4 linked regions of the Arabidopsis thaliana genome follow. The protein of the gene in region 1 interacts with the protein of each later gene in a pairwise test. Each region holds a gene or a part of one and is shown in the gene's direction. Other genes may lie near its edges.

What was found.
Region 2: the proteins of ZFP7 (region 1) and AT5G22355 interact in a two-hybrid assay, tested with the Arabidopsis thaliana proteins (one large-scale study listed by BioGRID).
Region 3: the proteins of ZFP7 (region 1) and AT2G32020 interact in a two-hybrid assay, tested with the Arabidopsis thaliana proteins (one large-scale study listed by BioGRID).
Region 4: the proteins of ZFP7 (region 1) and VAR3 interact in a two-hybrid assay, tested with the Arabidopsis thaliana proteins (one large-scale study listed by BioGRID).

The regions. Positions count from the first base shown.
Region 1 is NC_003070.9:8,725,029-8,729,733, reverse strand, and holds ZFP7 (zinc finger protein 7), read left to right. Parts: upstream 1-2,521; 5' UTR 2,522-2,773; intron 2,774-3,072; 5' UTR 3,073-3,095; coding exon 3,096-3,725; 3' UTR 3,726-3,945; downstream 3,946-4,705. UniProt on the Arabidopsis thaliana protein: Acts as a negative regulator of abscisic acid (ABA) signaling during germination and early seedling development.
Region 2 is NC_003076.8:7,399,179-7,404,714, forward strand, and holds AT5G22355 (Cysteine/Histidine-rich C1 domain family protein), read left to right. Parts: upstream 1-2,528; 5' UTR 2,529-2,583; coding exon 2,584-4,578; 3' UTR 4,579-4,794; downstream 4,795-5,536. Other genes in the region: ELM1 (fission ELM1-like protein (DUF1022)), read right to left, coding at 180-276, 461-702, 1,383-1,568; VAMP714 (vesicle-associated membrane protein 714), read right to left, coding at 5,201-5,291.
Region 3 is NC_003071.7:13,629,839-13,634,007, reverse strand, and holds AT2G32020 (Acyl-CoA N-acyltransferases (NAT) superfamily protein), read left to right. Parts: upstream 1-2,078; 5' UTR 2,079-2,263; coding exon 2,264-2,815; 3' UTR 2,816-3,028; downstream 3,029-4,169. Other genes in the region: AT2G32030 (Acyl-CoA N-acyltransferases (NAT) superfamily protein), read left to right, coding at 767-1,333.
Region 4 is NC_003076.8:5,868,770-5,875,252, reverse strand, and holds VAR3 (zinc finger (Ran-binding) family protein), read left to right. Parts: upstream 1-2,470; 5' UTR 2,471-2,581; coding exon 2,582-3,024; intron 3,025-3,105; coding exon 3,106-3,232; intron 3,233-3,350; coding exon 3,351-3,631; intron 3,632-3,918; coding exon 3,919-4,017; intron 4,018-4,116; coding exon 4,117-5,443; 3' UTR 5,444-5,557; downstream 5,558-6,483. Other genes in the region: AT5G17780 (alpha/beta-Hydrolases superfamily protein), read left to right, coding at 6,277-6,483. UniProt on the Arabidopsis thaliana protein: Probable component of some protein complex required for chloroplast and palisade cell development. Involved in C-to-U editing of chloroplastic RNA. Controls a large number of chloroplastic editing sites.

The DNA.
Region 1 (4,705 bases):
CTCTCCTTCCAGCCCAAGTAAAACCATTACCATGAGCAGGCATTTCCACAAGGTCACAACCTTTAATCATCTCATTAAAGGCTTTACAATCTAAATCACTTCTTCTCGGACCTCCATTTTTCTCACCATTATGAAGAATGTCATTGAAGTCACCAAACATACACCATTTATCCCTTCTACCCACTCCAATCCTTGAAATTCTTTCCCAGGCCTGACTTCTTTTACTTCTATCTGGGTCTCCATAAACACAAGAAACACAAAAATTAACAGCTCCAAACTGTACTTGAGCATCCATCAGGTTCTTATCTACAAACTTCAGATCCACCTGAACACTACTCTTCCAAAGCAAAGCTAAACCTCCACATTTTCCAACCGGCTCAACTGTATATACTTGGTCATATTCCAGCCAGCTTTGAATATCAACCAAATCATCTCTTGAATGCATCGTTTCCATCAAGAAAAGCAACTCATGGAAGTGTTTTTTACGCAGCTCCTTGATCACGTAGCTAGCTGCTCACATGAGGGCTGAGTTTTTGACCTCATACGGTATATATGAGATATTCGACCAAAAATTAAAATCGTACAAGAAAGAATTTTATCCCTCAATTAAGACCAATAGAGTCGAAACTTTTTCAAAAACTAAGCCCGCGAAAGACATAAATATATTCGGAAAACTAAGTCCAAAATTATAAGCGAACTATAACCAAAATATATAACCTAACTTTTACTTCGTAGCGCAACAACTTCTTAGTTTGTACTATAGAAAACATTGATGATTGCATCAAGTCATTTTAGAATGTCTAGCAAATTTTGGTGAGAATTTGATGAAAAGAATTTTGGTAAGTAATGAGATTTCAAAATAGCTTATTTGGATGCTGATTTCAGTAATGAGTTTTGCATAATTCTACCGAAAACTGCTCTAAATAATTAATTGACCACATTGAACTACGAATCAACAGTATAAGACTCAGTTGAAACTCACTAGTCACTACTACTTTATGGTGTGGATACAACCAATTTTAAGCTCCATTTTCATAGTGGCATTTGTCCACTAATGTTTTTACTAAAATTATTTGATTGTTCAACTTCTTGTTACCCAAGGAAAAAAGTTTTTACAAAATCTTAAAAATACCAACCAGCAACATAGAAACGATGGAACAATCATTTGTGAAATGTGATTGGGAAAGCTAATGAATTGAAGTGGGCACAAAGGCCCACAGACAAGTTGGGATGGAAATGGAACAAAAGTGGGCAGATGTCATAATCACTCAACGAATTAAAGACAAAAAAAGATAAAATATGGAGACACCATTATCTCTTTGTCTTTTGCCACGATCCCAAGATTGATTTTGCCCTGGCTTGAATTGTTCCACACACACAAACCCCTCTATGAAGACTCATCCGATGGTAAAACAACGGAAAATATCATTGGTCACGTACGTTTTATAGCTGCTAGCAACAACAACAATGACCAACGATATTTTTCTTTTTCGTTTTGTAGTTGTTAGCAATTAATGGCAACGATTAACTTTGGTTTGTTTTACAGTCGTTGGTTACTCGGTTCACTCTAGTAGTTTTGGTAACAAAGTTTAGTGATTATGACAAAATTTAGCGACTAGTAATAAAAAAAATTGATTACTAACAACGTTTTCATAGAACAAGAAAAACATAACACCTTATTTTTCACCGCACGAGTGATTTGGTAACATACCACACAGAGACAGTATCGGAAAAAAGTTTTTTTTAACAAAAACTTTGCAAAAAAAAGAAAAGTTAGATAGAAATGAGACAAAGAAAGCAGAGACTTTAAAATCACATGTGATATATCAGAAAAAACACAGCAAGAAATGTCCACATCCAAAAGTAAAGGTAAAGCCGGGGGAATGAATGTATGGGCTCCATGCAACATTATCAAATTCGTTGCTCTCTATTCGTTTTTTCCTACTATATAAGTGGCCGAGTTCAATTATTAAATGTTCATGAAAATATCCAAATTAAATGAAGAACTCTGACGAGTGCTATAAATAATTCAACAATATTATGTTTGTTTTTCTAACTATAAAACATACAATTTGTTTATCTGCTTTCTTTTTTCTTATATACAGATTTCAATTTTCACACATCTAATTCAAATCTTTTCAACAAATCATGACTATTCAACAACTTCGAAATGTTTTCAAAACTTATTGATGCGACAAAGTTTATCTATAGCACATCACAATGAACGTATAATAAACACTACTTTCGAAGACGTGCATACCAACGCCTATACGGCTACATCTTTACGAACACTGTAATAAAGTAATTCAAAATATTTCTTGGTTCTATTTCTATATATATTTAAGAAAAAGCAGAGTACTTTACTTGATTAATTTAGAAAAAATAATACTACTATTTGGCTAAGTGCCCCTAAAAAAATCGTTGAACTATAGAGAAAAAAACAGAGGTCTAAAAGTCTAACTGGCAGACACTTTTATTCTCCCATGTGTTTCACCAGACACCATCTCCATCTCTCCAACATTTGCGTTTCCACATTTGTTTAAACATAACTCTCTCTCTCTCTCTCTCTCTCTCTCTCTCTCAGTACCTCTTATTCTTATGCTCTTCTTCACCAATCCTATCTCTTCTATCTGTCTTTATTTTCTCTACATGTGAATTGACCCATTTCTGGTAAACACATAGAGTACCACTTTTCTTATTTAGATTCTTCTTCCTCTTCATAGCTTCCAAGTCAACTACTTCAGCTTCTGTCGGCTGTCTCTTCCCAGATCTCGTAAGCACAGTACCCTCCAAACTTCTTATCTCTCTCTGTCTCTCTCTCTCTCTGATCTTCGATTCTTGTTTATATTATCCTTACTACTTCCTTGGATTAAAACTTTAAAGCTTCATTTAGATTGGTCTTCTTTATGCTACGGACTTGCTGATTCTTGTCCGAATTCAAGAACTTTGTTTTTAGGTCTTGAACCAAGTTGTTAACTCTGTATAAGTCTTTACTTGCTTCTTTGCTCAATATCTTAGATTTATAGATTCGACAAGTTTTGTTGTTCTGCTTTGACTTAATTATGATTTCAGGTTAAGACCAAAACTTGGAATAAATGACGGAATCTGATGATGCCTCACGAGAAACACCAGCCAGCAGAGGAGGAGAAGCCTCGTCAAATCAAGATCTGTCCAAACCAGAATCAAACCATGTTTCACTCGATCTCAAGCTCAACGATACTTTCAACGATGACACAAAGAGCACAAAGTGTGAAGCAAACCCAAGAGTCTTCTCTTGCAACTACTGCAGACGCAAGTTCTATAGCTCTCAAGCTCTTGGAGGTCACCAGAACGCACACAAGCGAGAAAGAACAATGGCCAAACGAGCAATGCACATGGGAAGAATGTTTGGTCACCATCACAGGCCTTACACATACACTTCTTCTTCCCTTGGGATGCAAGCTCACTCCGGTTTACTTCATCACACCTTATCTCAGCCTCAGCCTCTTGTTTCTAGGTTTCATCATCAAGGGTATTTTGGTAACACCGTGCCGTTGTTCTTTGACTATGACGATGGTGGTAGCGACTTCTTCTGGCCCGGCAGCTTCCGTCAGGTGGTTGAGGAAGCTGAGGCTCCGGTGGTTGTGGTGGCTAGTACTGAGTCAGGCCTTGATTTGAACTCGGTTGCGGCAAATGGAGGTGTAGATAATAATAGCTCAAAGCCTGATCTTACCTTAAGACTCTAAAAGGATTAAGGAGATTATATCTTTATTGTTATTTTTCTATTGTTAGACATACAGAAGATAAGTTGGAGACAGTTGATAGAAATTGATGAAAAACTTTGTTGTTATATTAAATGAGGTTGTTCATTACATTACGGTTTCATTCATACCATTATACGAGCTCCCACACCAGTTAAATCATTAACTATTTTCATCTAGGAAGTGAAAAACATTAGTATGTTCGGTGGAAAAATTTTGTTTCGTTCATGAAAGATTGAATCATTTGTATGTCTTCTCGCGGAAACTGAGCCAGACATGCCAAAACGTCGACCAAAGTAGATTTAATATTTGGACACCTGAACATACTAACCGATTTAAGCCATCTTATTTATCATGCATATCAAATTATGTCTTAACCAGAATCAACTTTAAGACATTGATGTCTCCATTATTTGCAAATTCATTACAAGTTGTTTTCTTTTCTTGCATGTTTGTGTCTTCACTTCCATATATTTATTCCTAAAAACTAAAGTTTTTTTGCTAAGAATTCCTAAACTAAAGTTGCTTACTCTGAAGTTCCAAATAAATAAATAAAACTCTGAAGTTCTAATGAATTTTGTTGCCATATATGCGGTAAATTCTTGTGATTCATTTTTTCTCATATGATCTATATTTTTTTTTTGGGGGCAAAATTAATCTGTATATATTGTTTACATAACCTCACTAATCAAAGCTTATTTGTTTACATGGTCAAAATATGAATAAATTTTAAAACTTTGACTAGACAACCAATATTAAAATTGAGCATCTTTTATTTTATAAGTTCTTTTTTTTTTTGTGCAAAATTTTTATAAGTTCTTTATACGAATAAATCAAAGAAAACTACATATAGTAAAAGTACGACCAACTCAAATAATTGTAGGATGTGTGATAAAGTACATATAGCGTATCTAGTTTCTTTTTTGAAGTACAGAGTATAATCTATTAACCAAACATTTTTAAAG
Region 2 (5,536 bases), on another chromosome or scaffold:
TACTACTTTAGAATTCACAGGACCAGGAAAAAATTCTCATTCTTTAGAAAATCACAGGATTCAGCAACAAAATTCTTCCCAAAGATACTAAGTAAAGTTTGTCTCGAATTGTATTTCAGAGCTTAGTCTACTGTGCCTTAATAACTAACATAACAAACAGGTTAAATTTTATAATAGACCTGAACAACGAAGACGTTTTCAGAAGCCAAACGTCTTATCGAGCTAGCAATAGAAATAGTATCTCTTCCACATGCAATCACGATCAACGGGCCATCCCTGCGAAAAGGAAATAAAGTCGCTTAGATACCCATTCCCATTCCATGGACAAACAGAAATTCGTGATGATGGAAAGGCATACACTCAGGCTTCGATTTCGCTTGAGTACTACTTGCAACTCATAGAAACGCAATAGTGTTTAAATGAATAAGCACCACAAAGAAATTTCAGAAAGATTACATACTTTTCATAGGTCTGACGGGCCAAATTTACAATGCCCTTCACATCAGCCTCTAGAATAGAGGCCAAACCTACATTACCACCATTCTCTGAGGGTACAGATGAGATGTATTTACTTTGTTTGGATCCAAGCATCAATCTGGAGTAGAGGTAAATATGCCTGAGGATAAAGTCCAACTTCTTGTGAAAACCAACTGGGAGCCAGTGCAGCCACTCATTTAGTCCTCCTTTAGGCCTTGTCACTCGCTTGCATAAAGAAAAAGAGATAATCTCAGCTAACCAAAAATCATGTTAAATGTAAATTTACGTGAATGTCGAGTCTATGAATGATCAAGAAGCTAGAGAAACCAGACACAGCAAAACAGCCTTATATGCATCCAAACTGATCTAAAAGAAGCATTAAAGACTCCACTACCAGTGTTCCTTGTAAACGAAATTCAGTAATTGCACCAGCATCATGCTCCACCAATGATTCAATTCTCTTTAAGATTTACCAAAAAAAATTATAAATAAAACTGACAATATAGGTAGTTATGACACCCCAAGAACCTTCCACTGTTTACCCTAAATTTGCAGAACTTGAGATATTGGCAAATTTACATATTTACCAATTCATTGTTTCCATAAAAATTCAAATAGTTCCTCCTTCTCTGAACATTCATACACTCTAAAGAAGTACTAAACAATATGAAATTTCCACTCCTACTTAGACTGAGACCTAACAAGCTAAAAACCTAGAACACACGACGAAACAACAAAGTAAAAGAAACTCCTATCCAAAAGCAATCATCAATCTCTCAACTACATCATGCGCCTAGCAAAAACTGACGAGAATTTCGAGTATAGTATCAATGGTTTATAGTCGACGAAATGAAAGCACTAAGCAGATGCTAAAAACGTCTAGAGCCTAGATCAAAGAAACTCACGTAGAGAAGGTGATTATCAGATAAGCCGAGCGCACGAACGAGACCGATACACTGATTCTCGGAGCCAGGGAAACCGTTTCCGATGACGACGGCGCGTCTGACGACGTTATGGGAACCGCCTTGTTCGAAAATATCAGGGACGCCGGTAGATAGACTGGGTGGATCCGGCAATAGGATTGGCCTCATGCCGGTTAGATTATCGATTCCGATTCCGATCAAAAACCCTAGAGGAACCACACCGAGATTTGGGGGGATTGATCTCAACTCCGTAGAGAGAAGGTCGTGGTGCTTTGACAAGTTGCGAAAGGTCACAGAAAGAGAGATTGTTTTCCTTTTCTCCTTCAAGAGATTGTCTTTACGCTAAAATTTGGTATAACAATTAACAAAGGACAAATTTAAGGTCTTAAACGAATTTTTTGCTAATCAATAAAACTAATTTTGTCAATACAAAACATACAATTGTTTAAAAAAAAAGAAATTGTATGGTATTTTAAAAATTTTGATTTTAGAATTTGAAGTTTTGGAATTTTGTTTTGTTATATGATGATTAAAATTAAAATTTCACCGATAGTCATCCAAAATTAGAATAAAACACTATTTGTCACATAATTGCTGTTTTTCTAATTGTCTATTCAAATCTTATGAACCTCTTCGTAGGCCCAATATGTAGAATTTGATTGTTAAAAGGTGAAGCCTTATCTGGAAAAAGCCCAACTGTTATTGTTCTTCCTGTGCCTCGTTTTGTCTCGGTCTAACTTTTTTACACACGACTTTACCAATCATAGTATTCAAAGAAATCTAGCGATCTCAAGACTCCGAGTGTCACGATAGAGAATATGAAATTGCAGAAATGATTCAATATAATTATATATCTTAGCTGTTGTTAACACGTTAGATGTTGAGTTTAGGAAATTAATTTATTGGGTATTTTCATACTATTATATTCATAGGTAGCTATAACGATGATAAGATAATTTAATGTGTGCAGGTTGTAAACAGTTAGGAATATGAAATAATTCAACTATATATTATAATCATCTCGTGGAAAACAGGATCGATTGCACATGATTCATTGGAGACAAGAATCGTTAAGGTGTTCACACATTACGTGTCTTTGTTATATTGGGGTTACAAAGATGCATTCATATGATGTAGTATTATCTTGAGATCTCCAGAAAACAAACCGCATTTGAATCACAAAATGGATCTACCACCCAAAATACTACCAACTCACAAATATCCTTTGACCATTTCGACTCGTTTTGTTAATGATTCTTGTAAAGGTTGCAATATAAAAGGTCCCATCTATGGCGGCTACCGTTGCAACGAGCCTTCCTCTACTAGTTTGTTCTTCCACAAAGAGTGCGCAGAGGCTCCACCGGAGATTATCAACCATCCTTCTCATCCTCAACACACTCTTAAACTCCACAATTCTCTAAGGAACCCATGTAAATGTAATCTATGTGGCAAGACTTTTTTCGCTTTTGGTTATCGTTGTTCATCAAAATGTGACTTCATCGTGGATCTCACTTGTGGGATAAATCCATTGCCGGTTTCTATCGAACATCCAAAGTCTCATCATCATCCAGTTATCTTCTTGAAAGAACCCGCAAAGCCGGGTAGGCGCAGATGCGGAATTTGCAAGGGCTATAATGGTGGATGTTCTTATGCATGTCTTGAATGTGAAGTCCACTTTCATGTCGAGTGTGTCAATCTTTCCCAAGAGGTGAATCATCCTTCTCATCCTCAACATTCTCTCAAGTTACTTGAATATGAATCACTAACAAGTGATGCTGAAGAGACATGTCTTTTATGTGGAGAACGACCAGACAAAGTGCTTTATCGCTGCTCGATATGCAACTTCAGCGTATGTCGATTCTGTACAAAAGATCCACCACCACTTGCTATCGAGCATCATAAGACGCACGAGCATCGACTTGTCCTCTTATCAAGACTCATCTCATTTGAATGTAATGCTTGTGGGATGCAAGGTGATCGAAGTCCTTACATGTGTGTTCAATGCGGGTTTGTTGTCCATAGAACTTGTATTGACTTACCACGTGTCATAAACATCAACCGTCACGATCATCGCATCTCTTTCACCCATCATCTCGGTGTTGGGTACTCGAGATGCGGTATTTGTCGCAAAGATATAAGTCAATACCATGGGGCTTATTTATGCCCTCGTTGCCCGAACTATGCAGCTCATTCACTATGTGCAACAAGAAAAGACGTATGGGATGGGGTAGAACTCGAAGGGACACCAGATGATGATGACGAAGATATTGTGCCGTTCAAAGTGGTGGGTGATAACTTGATCAAGCATTTCAGTCATGAAGAACATAATCTAAGACTCAACAAGGACAATATCAATCGTGACGAAGGCTCACGTTGTGAAGCATGCGTCCTTCCTATCTATTCCGATCCGATCTACAACTGTGAGGAATGTCGTTTCATTCTCCATGAGAAATGCGCTAATCATCCAAAAAAGAAACGACATGTATTCCACACAAAACCATTCACACTATGGTCCAGACCACCTCGTACATTCCATAGCAAAGATTTTAGATTCTACGATGTCTTTCGCTGCTATGCTTGTAGAACGAAGTCTACTGGTTTCAGGTACGTTTCTGATTGGTGGGTTCTAGATGTACGTTGTGGTTCGCGTTCTGAACCGGTCATTCATGATGGTCACAGACATCCTCTATATTACGAACATAAGAAAGATCACTGTTGTGATGCATGTTATAAAGAGATAGATGGTTATCTGCTTTCCTGTGACACTTGTGACTTTGATCTGGATTTACACTGTACTGATTTACCAAAAACGGTAAAGCACAGCTGCGACAATCATCCTCTTTCCCTATGCTATGGCGAAAATGCAACCGGAAAATATTGGTGTGATATTTGCGAGGCGGAAACAGATCCAAGTAAGTGGTTCTACACTTGCTCTAAATGTGTGGTTACTGCACATATTGAATGTGTGCTTGGAGACTTTTCACGTCTCATGCCAGGACGCATCATCAACTACAATAATGTTAGAGTTGAAGTGGTTCTTAACAGCTATAGTTCTCGCCCCTTCTGTGCAAAATGTCACTCCAGATGCAGAGCTCCTATCATTCTAAAGCTTTGTGATCCATATACTGGATACATTTGTTCCGATGCATGTGTAGTGCCCGACTATCAATACAGCTAAGACAACTATGTAGCTGTTTATTTCACTCTATTGTTTCTCGTAATTTTTTGGATGTAAGAGTTTATTTCCAACTACAAGTGCTAAGCATTCTGGTTATATTCATACTGTGTTCATCAGTACAGGCAGGATTAAACTGTATCGATGACATATATAAAGTCGTAACAAGTTATGACAAACTTGCTAAAAAGGTAGTAGCAACTAATATGATTTAGTTAATGAAAACATAGACAGAAATGATGGAAACAGATATTTGTGAATCAGAAATGTTATTAAACAAAGATGAAAACTGAAGTAATTTTAACAACAAAAATAACGAATATGTGATGTACATTGCAAATGCAAAAATTATAAAGACACAGCGGATAAAGTTTTGGAAATACAGAGAACAAACTCACTCACGTGACTAAATCTAAAAGACAAGGCAAGAGTTCAATGAACCTCTGTATCATTTTGATTTTGACATTTACAAGAGTTACATAAGCAAGGAGGACCATGACATGTAACTTCAAACTCACAGTCATTTTCATGACAAAACCAAGGCTTCAAATCGAAATGATGCGACTGAGTTGATTTACAAAAACAGTGGTCCGTTTCAGTATACCTTAGATAAGGCCGCCAGATTTTAAGATCTGCATGATGGTAAAGTGATTCCTCCGCAGAAAGATGCGATTATTATGTACAGCAAGAAAACTATCAAGCATGTCAACAAGACCCTGCCGAACACAAACAAGAAAAGCAGTTTTGTTGATTAATAAAAGTGATCTGGAACTCAAGCATCAAAACAAAACAATAATGAAATTTCTTTAAGCAGAGGTGGAATCAAGGCAGTGTAGTTCCTATCAGCCAAAAATTAGATATTTTGTCGAGGAGAATTTCCCAAAATCGAAAATAATGTTGAATCTTAGAACTACTGTATCTCTAGTTTAAGAAACATATCAATAAACTATGCTGCAAAGGC
Region 3 (4,169 bases), on another chromosome or scaffold:
TTAGGAAAATTGATGTGATTTATTATAAAATATTTTAAAATTCTATATAAGACCATGAATTTCGATTTTGTTATTTTTAACTAAAGAACTTTCTCAAATCCTTCAAAATTAATAAGAATCAAATCTACCAATTATTTTCAATAACAATAGATTTTAAGATAGAATTTTAAATCTTTAGTTCAATAATACTAGATTTCATTAAAGTTTTTCAAATCCATAATCGAACAACATAGAATTTATAAATTTTACACAAATCACTTAAAATATTAGATTGAATACATTCTTATAAAAATCAAATCCATAAATTATTTTTAATAACAGTGAATTTAAAGGTAGATTTTTAAATTATTATTTTAATAACACTAGATTTCATTAGAATTTTCAAAATCCATAATTAAATAACATATACTTGTAAAATTTACGAAAGTCACTTTAAATACTAGATTGAATATACCTCTTTTAAATCAAAAACGATGAATGGATGGTAAATATACGGTTCACCCATACCCATTATAAACCGTCTTTTTCACACCTTCCATTCAACAAGAACTAATTGTTGCGTATTTGACCGATCGAAGCAAGAAGGAACGTTCTGTTTATTTTCTTTTTTGTTAAAAAAAAATCAGTATTTAAATCGTGATTTGTAGAAGAAGTATTATCATAATGCCTCTACACAAATCTGTAAGAATTGAGAGAGATAATTTATTTTAAAGAATCCCAAAGAAGCTTCAAAGACTCAAAAAGGAAAGTAACCAAGAAAAAGTCAATGGAGATGGACTCAACTACTACGATCAAACCGGAGACCCTATCCACCGTGAGTTCCTCACCTCCGGAGAAAATCCATCTCCGGCCAATGACTCTTTCCGACGTCGACGATTTCATGGTTTGGGCCACTGACTCAAACGTCACACGCTTTTGCACGTGGGAGCCTTACACTAGCCGAGAAGCCGCGATCGCGTACTTAAACGACGCTCTTTTGCCACACCCTTGGCTTAGAGCTATATGCTTAGATAACGACCGTCCGATTGGCTCGATCTCCGTAACGCCAGTCGATGAGATCAGAGGAGAGATTGGTTATGTCCTCGGAAGCAAGTATTGGGGGAAAGGGATCGCCACTGAAGCGGTGAGGCTTGTGGCGGGGGAGATATTCAAGGAGAAGCCAGAGATGCAGAGGCTTGAGGCACTTGTTGACGTTGACAATGTTGGATCTCAAAAGGTTCTTGAAAAAGTTGGGTTTGTGAAAGAAGGTGTGATGAGGAAATTTATGTATCTTAAAGGAAATGTTAGAGATATGGTCATGTTTAGTTTCTTGCCTTCTGATTCGTTGCACTGATCTGATTTGAATTAACAAATATCAAATATATATATTAAGTTTGTTTGATGTCGAAATTTATATTTTGCTTAGTTTGTAAAAATCACATGTATAATTTGATGTGATGCTCTATCTTTCTTCTTCTTATGTAATTGTTAGTTGTAACCTTATATATTAACTATTTCATACAAAAGTTATTTTTTATAATTTGAGAGTAATGTATTTACTATTTACCATGTTCACTTCACCAAATAAAACAAAGCTTCACTATCTCAGAAAAAATGTAAGTTTATATTGAAAATTAAAAGTACAAAATGAAACATGATATATATATATATATTTTCTTTTTGAATCTAAACATGAAATATTTTATACAATAAAAAGATAGTGTGATAGCTAGTTTTACAGCGATAGATGAATGGAATTCTGATAACATTCGATTAATTAATCTTTAGCTAAATTACTTAATCATACAACATGTTGAGTGACTTGATTCTTGAGTTGATTTTGACAGTATATAACAAACGATTACGATCATTTGCACCACAAATATTAACAGTATTAAAATATTTAATCCATTTAGAATAACTTGAGAAACAGTTAAATCCTTTTTGGGAATCAGACCACACACGATTTGACACGTGGCATTGTGGGCATCCAACTGGAAGCAACACATTAAGTTCCGAAACCAGAACAATACTTTGTTTGGCAACCAAGTAAGTGTCGAAAGTCCAAGGTCAAATATAGACAATTATCCACTCACACGATGACACCTCATCTTATGTCGTATATTTAACACTAAATACACTTATCTATAGCAAATGGTAATATTTAGTGTTTTTTTAGTCAAAAGCAATAAGGGAGAATCTCAAAGTTTTTCAAGATCGCGATGTGTATAAAGACATCGCTTAGACGTAGTGATATGATATCTAAAACAATCACTAATCCTAAATGGAGATGGACTCAGAAGAAACTAATCCAATAATGAGCTCTTCGCCTCCGGGAAGAATATCTCTCCGGCCGATGACTCTTTCCGACGTCGATGACTACATGGTTTGGGCCACAGATCCTAAAGTGGCTCGATTTTGCACTTGGGAGCCTTGCACGAGCCGAGACGAAGCTATCAAATACATAACCGATCGTGTCCTGACACACCCTTGGCTCCGAGCCATCTGCTTAGAAGACGACCGTCCAATCGGCTACATCTTGATCATGGCGGTTGATAACATCAGAAAAGAGATTGGTTATGTCCTAGCGAGAAAGTATTGGGGAAAAGGGTTTGCCACGGAAGCAGTGAGGCTAGTGACCGCGGAGGTATTCGAGGAATTTCCAGAGATTGAAAGGCTTGAGGCACTTGTTGATGTGGACAATGTTGGATCTCAAAGGGTTCTTGAAAAAGTTGGGTTTACTAGAGAAGGTGTGATGAGGAAGTTTATATGTATCAAGGGAAGTGTAAGAGACACTGTTATGTTTAGTTTCTTGTCTACTGATACTTTGAAGTAATTAATCAACAAAAAGATTAATTAGCAATTCTACATATATATGTTGGATTTAGTGTATGATTCATATACGTAATACATGATGTAAACACTCTGTTTTTCATTTGCCAAAAAAATCTATAAATCCTACATTGTAAATTACGAAACAATTAAAGTCAGTGCATGAGACAGAAGTGAGGTTAGAGGGATCATCCGATTACAAATTGATAGGTAGAGAAGAGTTTTAAAAATCAAAGGTTAATAGAAGCGTATAAACGAATAATGTAGAATGTAAATAAAACAATGGGATTCGTCCTGTATCCATAAAAAGGTTCACATACTCATCCAACAAGCAAAAGAAAAAAAAAGCAAAACATCCCATGGTCCTTGGGATGAGAACTTAAGAGCCAGACCAGCTTTGTTAAAATAACACAGGATATTAAAAGTATTTGTAAAATTTGAATTATGAATTTATGTAATTCAACAAATTTACTATAAGTAGTACGTAATTAATTTATTATGATTTCTCCATATTTCTTAAATTAAAGTAAACAATCTTTAGATTCCCCTGAGTTTCTTCTTCTTGTTGGAAAAATGAAGTTTACTCGTGCGTAATTCGTTAAGAGAGAAGCCCATGTGGCCCAAATTTAGGGCCCGTGTAGTGGAGGTTTCGTTATAAAGAATCTAGTGAGAAGTGAAGTGAGCAATTTCTTTTCTTTTTTTTTTGTTATGAAGAAAATAATCTGGAAATAAGAAATTACAAGAAAAAATGGATTTTTTTGGGTAAAAAAAAGAAGAAGAAATCAATCATCACTGTGCTTGTGTGAGGCTAATTTCGTTTCCCACTTTCAAAGGACTAAATATATTACTAATACAATTTATTTTAACTTCTGTGGTAGAACTAAAATATATTTGGCCTATAGATACACATGCATATCAAAAAAAGTTATTTTTAGGTTATGTGAATAAAGACTCCACTCCGTTCAATATGTCTGACCAGTCAGTCCATATAGGATATACGCATATAGTATGAAACAATTTATTAGTATTTGAAATCACTATGTAAGTATGTGATATTTTCTGTTAACCAACAAAAAAATTAGATTCATTTACTAACTAGCTCACTAAACATATGTTTTTAGGAATTAAAAATAATCTTAGCTCCAAAATTCGATAAGACTATATAGATATTTTACCTTTAAATAGGTACAAATTTGGAATGAACCGCAACATTTATCGAATTAGATAAAATATCAGAATGTCCACTCCTGTAAATCATAGCTGATGGACTTTAATTTTAATAGGATTGGAGTAATAGTTAAAGGTATTTAAGTAAATCATTTCGATATACACTTCTTGTTCTGGACCACATATTCCAT
Region 4 (6,483 bases), on another chromosome or scaffold:
TTATTGTGTCTTGTTTTTATGTGAGTTTCGGTTATGGGAACGGTTTCGTTAATTTTGAAATCTTCTGTTGACGACAAAAAAAAAGTCTTGTACCGACGTGGAATGACGACATCATTGGCTGTTACACACGAGCGGATCGTGTTCTTACCTAACACGTGTACCGTCCTCACGAATTTCAGTTTCCGGTTCATAGAAAAGTTCCCCGAACCGTTATGGACCAATTCCACTTTTCTTTTGTTTTTTTATTAAGATACTTTGAATGATTATTATTTAATAACATTTTTGCAAATCATATTCTCGACTATGGAAGAATTATTTTTTTCCAACGACCATGAAAGTGGTCTGTAATTTGAAAGATTGTTGTATAATTTTGGGGTAAGAAGAGATAATATTAAAGACATACCGATAAACAAACATATATGAAAGATGTGGAGTATATGTAATATGTTTCGGGGGATAGATATTTTTTGTTTCGTTTGGGTTGCCATTTATTTTACAGCTATTTTATAAAAGTAATCGATTTTTAATGAGGGAGTTGTTTCATCAAATACTATCGACTGTATTTTAGGGGTTACATTTAAGATTATCAAAACTTCGACTTAAATTCAAACGTCTAATATAAAATTTTATGTGAAGTTGTTTAATGGTCCGATTAATAGCGCAAGACGGTAAGAGCTTTGTAACTGTACAAAATAGTGATAAAAATGGTGGTATGGTTGAATATGGTAAAAATGATAAGAGATGAAAAATGGTACGATAAGAAGTCGTTAGACCAAAAAACTAGCTGCATATTGAATTAGTTCGAATGAATAATAGGATTGCTTTTTCTACATAGTTCTGAGGTTACTTCTCTTTCGGTAGTTCGTGGATCCATCGGATCATGTTCGTCATTTGATAAAGTCGTCGGTGAATTTTACGAAATGGTTAGTGGTTATTGATCATTGTTTAACCACAATTTCTAACACTCTCACTTGTACGATTAAAGTTAATGGAATTGTGTTTTTCTTATCCTTTTAAAATTTGAGACAATCTTTCAATAGACCCAGAAAACAAAAGGTGGCGAGAAAAGGTAACTTCGAAACTCCAAGCGCTAAAATAATGTTCGGATAATCATGATTCATGAGATAAGTCACACTAATTACATTAACATAGAAAAAGTTTCTTTAAAACTTCTTGATTAGTTTTAAAGAAGACACTTTAACTAATTTGAGGAATTTAGGGCTTTATCTCATGATGTAATGACATAAAGTCTCTTTATTAAAATTGAATTTTAATTACAAATCATGTCAAAGTTGTTAGCCCGTCCATTGCACTTGTGGCATAGAACTAAACATGTCACATCAAAGTATAAATAGTAATTAATTATGATAAAATACATTTCTAGGGGAATTAATGAGGTTATACCTTACGGACTTAGATTGAAGTCATTATCAAGGCAGTTAATTGTCTACGTACTCACCAATATTTTACTCCACATAGATCTAAACAAAGAAATTAGTTATTACATTATAAATAGCTTAGTGTATGTAAAAGTGTTAATCAGAATAAACATTAGTCAAAAGTTGACGGCAGTGATCGGCAACTAATCCACACCCAACTTTAACTCACAGTGACTCCCACGTTCAAGAGAACACAAATATTATTCTCTCCTTTTTAGTTCCACTGATGTTTTAATTTTCGTTTCTTTCGTTTATATAAAACTATATTCATAACGTATTATTTTTTAGTTAATTTTTATTTCTTAGGTTTTATTATATATTGTAATTGTATAAGTTCTGAAACCAAGAAGTACTAATACATAATAAATATAACTATTTTAGATCCTTGACATAGCTTTTTTCTATAGTATATGTAAAAATAGTCTATATCATCTATTATTTTCGAAAGTTGTAAGTTGTAACATATAAACTTATTAATTTAAGAAAAACAAAAGTTAGAAATTAAATAACGTATGTGAATTGAAATCTCTAAACAAGTAAACATCACTTATTACGAACATATGTAGAAGTATAACTATAATCGAGGTTTGTTAAGTAAGTGAAAATTCAATAACGGAGAAATGTATGACTATAAATCTTTTAAAGTTATAGCGGCTTTAAGTCAAAAGAAATGTATGCATGCGTATGACATTGTACAATGTACACTTCAACTTTTCAAGTCACGAAAATTGATGTCAAATCGACGTGCAATTTGATAAATACCGAATCTGCAAACTCCTTTTTATATTGTATAAACTGAAGATTTCAACATAAAACTTACGCTTATCTTTAAAACATCTCTTAGATTAGATTACTATCAGTTCGTTACTTGGGTTAATTCCATTATTAGTACGAAACCATTTACTTTTTCTTTAAGAGACATCCCATTTGAATGAAATACATTATTTACCAAAGTTACCAAACATTCATAATGGCAAGCCCAAGTAGTAGCACACAGAATTATGGGCCTATGTTAGCCAATATGGGCTTATTTTTTTCTTCATTTTGCAATTATTTTGCGATTTATTAATCCTTTTTTTTTCCTTAAACATCACTGAAATAATTCTCGCCGGTAAAAATAAAACCAGTGACGACGAGCAACGATGAACAACTCCACCAGACTCATCTCCCTCTTCTCTCCTCATCCTCCTCCTCTCTTTCTACTCCGTGGTCTCTACATCAGCCGCATAGCCAATCTCCGCCGTTTCCACCGCCGTGCGTTTCCTCCTTCGTCCGTTGCCTCAACCAATCTATGTTCTTTCCGTCCACTCGTGTCATTGCCGCCGCTTATCCCCACGTTTCCTATAGGACGATTCTACAATCACCAAGTCCGTGTCTCCGCCGCAGATTTTGTTCCTTCTTATCACAACCAGCAGCTACCTGAATGGACAGAGCTACTCCAATCTCTCTCCAAAGCTGGTTACTTCTCAGATTCCGGTTCGATTTCTGGTTTAGAAAGTGAATTCTTTCCCGGTTTTCCTGATGAACTTCTCCGTCCAGCTCTTGCTTGCTTAGCTCTAGCTCGTGAACGACCAGAACTGCTTGAGTAAGTAATCTGCAATTTTTTCTCTTTCTCTTTTTGGATTGATTCTCAATCTGAATATCTGATGATGTTAGTGTTTATTAGAATGCTTTCGAGGAGAGACGTTGAAGTGCTGGTGGAGAATGGAAAGCCATTTTTATTCAAGACAGGTCCAGATTCACTTAAAAGGATGAGCCTTTACCTAAGAAGTGGTCTTCAGGGCATTGGTAAGGTAAGTTCTATCTTCTGGCAAATGCTTAGTCTTTTATTGGTGAATGCTAGGTTATGTCTAAACTTGGTTCAATGGTGATTTGTGCCTCAAAGTTATGATCTTTTGTGTTTTACATTAGTTGATGGATATGGAGAAGGCGAGTACAGTTGATTTGATGAGGCTTATTTTGAGTTATGTTGTGGATGTTGCTTCTTCTGAGGAGAGCAAACAACATAACAAAGAGATTATGGAGTCATCGGTTCGAAGCCTCTTGAGTCAGATAGCGAAGATGAGCTTGCGTCCTCCTGAGTCGAATGTTCATGACACGATGCAAAATCAGTACTCAGATAGAGATGGACAAGGAGTCAGGTCTTTTCAGAATAACGTTGAGATGAAACGTGGTGACTGGATTTGCTCGAGGTATGAATTTGTTGGATTCTCAGTAGCTTTTTGGTGTAAATCTCCTATGGCCTTTTGGTTACCATTCTTCTATGGAAAGATATAAGTAGGCCTAGATATAAGGATACCATAAAAAAAAATCTTCTGGATCTGAGCTTGAACAAGTATACTTCTGACTATTACACTAGTATTGTGGTCGAAAGATCTTATTTTTAGAGCTAAGAAGTCAGTATGGTGTAATTGTCTTTGTTTCATCATCTTGTCGTTTAGGGAATCTATATATATGATGTGGGAATTTGTTGAAACAGGTGCAGTGGCATGAACTTTGCGAGAAATGTCAAATGCTTCCAGTGTGATGAAGCAAGACCAAAGAGACAGCTTACTGGTAGTGAATGGGAGTGTCCTCAGTAAGAAACTGATTTTTTCTCTCTGCTACTTTATGACTAATGCGATGAGGAATGATGAGGTTAACCTTTCCTTTCTTTCTTGGTTGTTTCACTTATCAGATGTGATTTCTATAATTACGGGAGGAATGTAGCTTGCTTAAGATGTGACTGCAAGCGACCCAGGGACTCTTCACTCAATTCAGCCAACTCTGATTATTCAAGTGACCCTGAACTTGAGAGAAGACTGGTCGAAAACGAAAAGAAAGCACAGAGGTGGCTTAGTAAAGTAGCACAGGGTGGTTCTGATGCGAACAGTGTTGATACAGATGAAGATTTCCCAGAGATTATGCCTTTGAGGAAAGGAGTGAATAGATATGTTGTTAGCACGAGGAAGCCACCTCTTGAGAGAAGGTTGGCTAATACTGAGAACAGAGTAGCTACAGATGGAAACTCGAAAAGGAGCGACGATAATGCTTTGGGAAGTAAAACAACTAGGAGCTTGAATGAGATTCTTGGTTCTTCATCCTCTTTGACTTCTCGTTCTGATGACAAGAATGTATCTTCCAGAAGGTTTGAATCTTCTCAGGGAATAAACACCGATTTTGTTCCTTTCGTGCCATTACCTTCGGATATGTTTGCCAAGAAACCTAAGGAGGAAACACAGATAGGTCTGATTGACAACATCCAAGTGGATGGTTTCTCAGGCGGCAATCAAAATGTCTATCAAGAGGACAAGTCAGATGCAAATCACTCTGGCAAAGAAACAGATCGCCTTGAAAAGGAAGATCACAAATCAGAGGAACCTGCGAGGTGGTTCAAACGGGTCACCGAACTGCACAATGTTTCAGACTTGGAAAGCGCAATACCGCAAGAGATTTCTCCTGAGAAAATGCCTATGCGAAAAGGAGAGAATCGGTTTGTAGTGAGTAGGAAGAAAGACCGTTCACTGACTTCTCCAGCATACAAGAGGCCAGAAGATTCAGACTTTGTCCCCTTTGTCCCTTTCCCACCTGACTACTTCGCCAAAGAGAAACAACCCAAGGAATCAATAGATACTCTTCCAGCTCCGGCGACAGAAAACGTTTCTCAGGTAGTACAACAAGAACCAAGAGAACCTTCAATCAACAAATCTGATACAGTGGCAGTGAAGATCAGAAATGGAAAGAGCTTGGAGGGTTCGTTAGTGAAGGAGTCAGACTTGTTGGACATGTCAGAGGAAGCAAAAGCAGAGAGATGGTTTAAGAGAGTGGCTGAGATTAAGAACATATCAGAGCTGAGTGAGATCCCAGACGAAGATTTCCCGTCGATAATGCCGATGAGGAAAGGAGTGAATAGGTTTGTTGTCAGCAAGAGGAAAACTCCCTTGGAACGGCGTTTAACTTCTCAACGACACCAGAGAAATCCTCATATCACCAACTCTGATCCCACTGGTAAAGGAGATAAATGACCATGTAGCATAACATTTTTTCGGAGTAATATTACCATACGATTTTTGTATTTCTTTAATTCAACTTCTATATACACAATGTGTAGAAACTTTATTCTCCATCTTTACCGACGGCATCCTTTAGAAGTCGCTGTGTTTCTTCTCTCCTCCTGCACACAACAAAATCAACATTGCTATAATACATCAAACGTTACCACAACAAGCTTTTGAAGAATCTTGGATGGATGATACTGATACCATTAATATAATAAAGTTAATGCACACAAACATCTTAATGTCCTTCACAGCTTGCTTTCGCTGTTGAATTTGAAGTTCCATAATGTGAATAAGCTTTGGTCTCGCCTTGATTAAAAGAAACAACACAAATATATATACAGACAGAATGTTGTGAATATAAACGTAACACAAAGTGATGAAACATGTTGTGAATGAAAAGAGATCGTTACTTGGTGAGGCAGTAAAGAATTGAGAAAGTAATGCAAAATATTAAAGATTGAAGATATATCAGCAAGCTCCAAAAGGAGAGTTATAAGCAAAACCGAAAACACGTCGTTAGAGGCAAGATTTAGAACGAGAGGCAAGATTTAGAACGACGTCGTTTATGATATCTGCGGGTAAATCAGGCTCCCCTATTTTGGGCCTGGGAAAGCCTTCGGGCCTTTTTACTTAATAGTAACATATCCGTAAGATTTTCCGACCAAAAGAAAAAAAACATATAACATAATTGTAGTGCATGCATCTAAACTTTGGTAATAAATTCGAAACTTCTCTCATGCGACGTGGCTTAACCACTCATCTCAATTTCTCCCACGGTCTAGATTCTCTCCGCTTCTATGTCTTTCCCGAGAAAATTCGGGACAGCGATTCACGCCGCTCTATCTTTTATCGTCTTCTTTTTCTTGGACCTCCTCGACGCGATTCTCTGTGTCGTTTACGAGTTCGTCGATGAGATTTTGGAAGAAAACTCAACAGGTTGTTACTGCACGGCGGCGGCTCCTCAAAGTCAAACCACCGACGAAAATGAGTTGTCGTCGGAGACT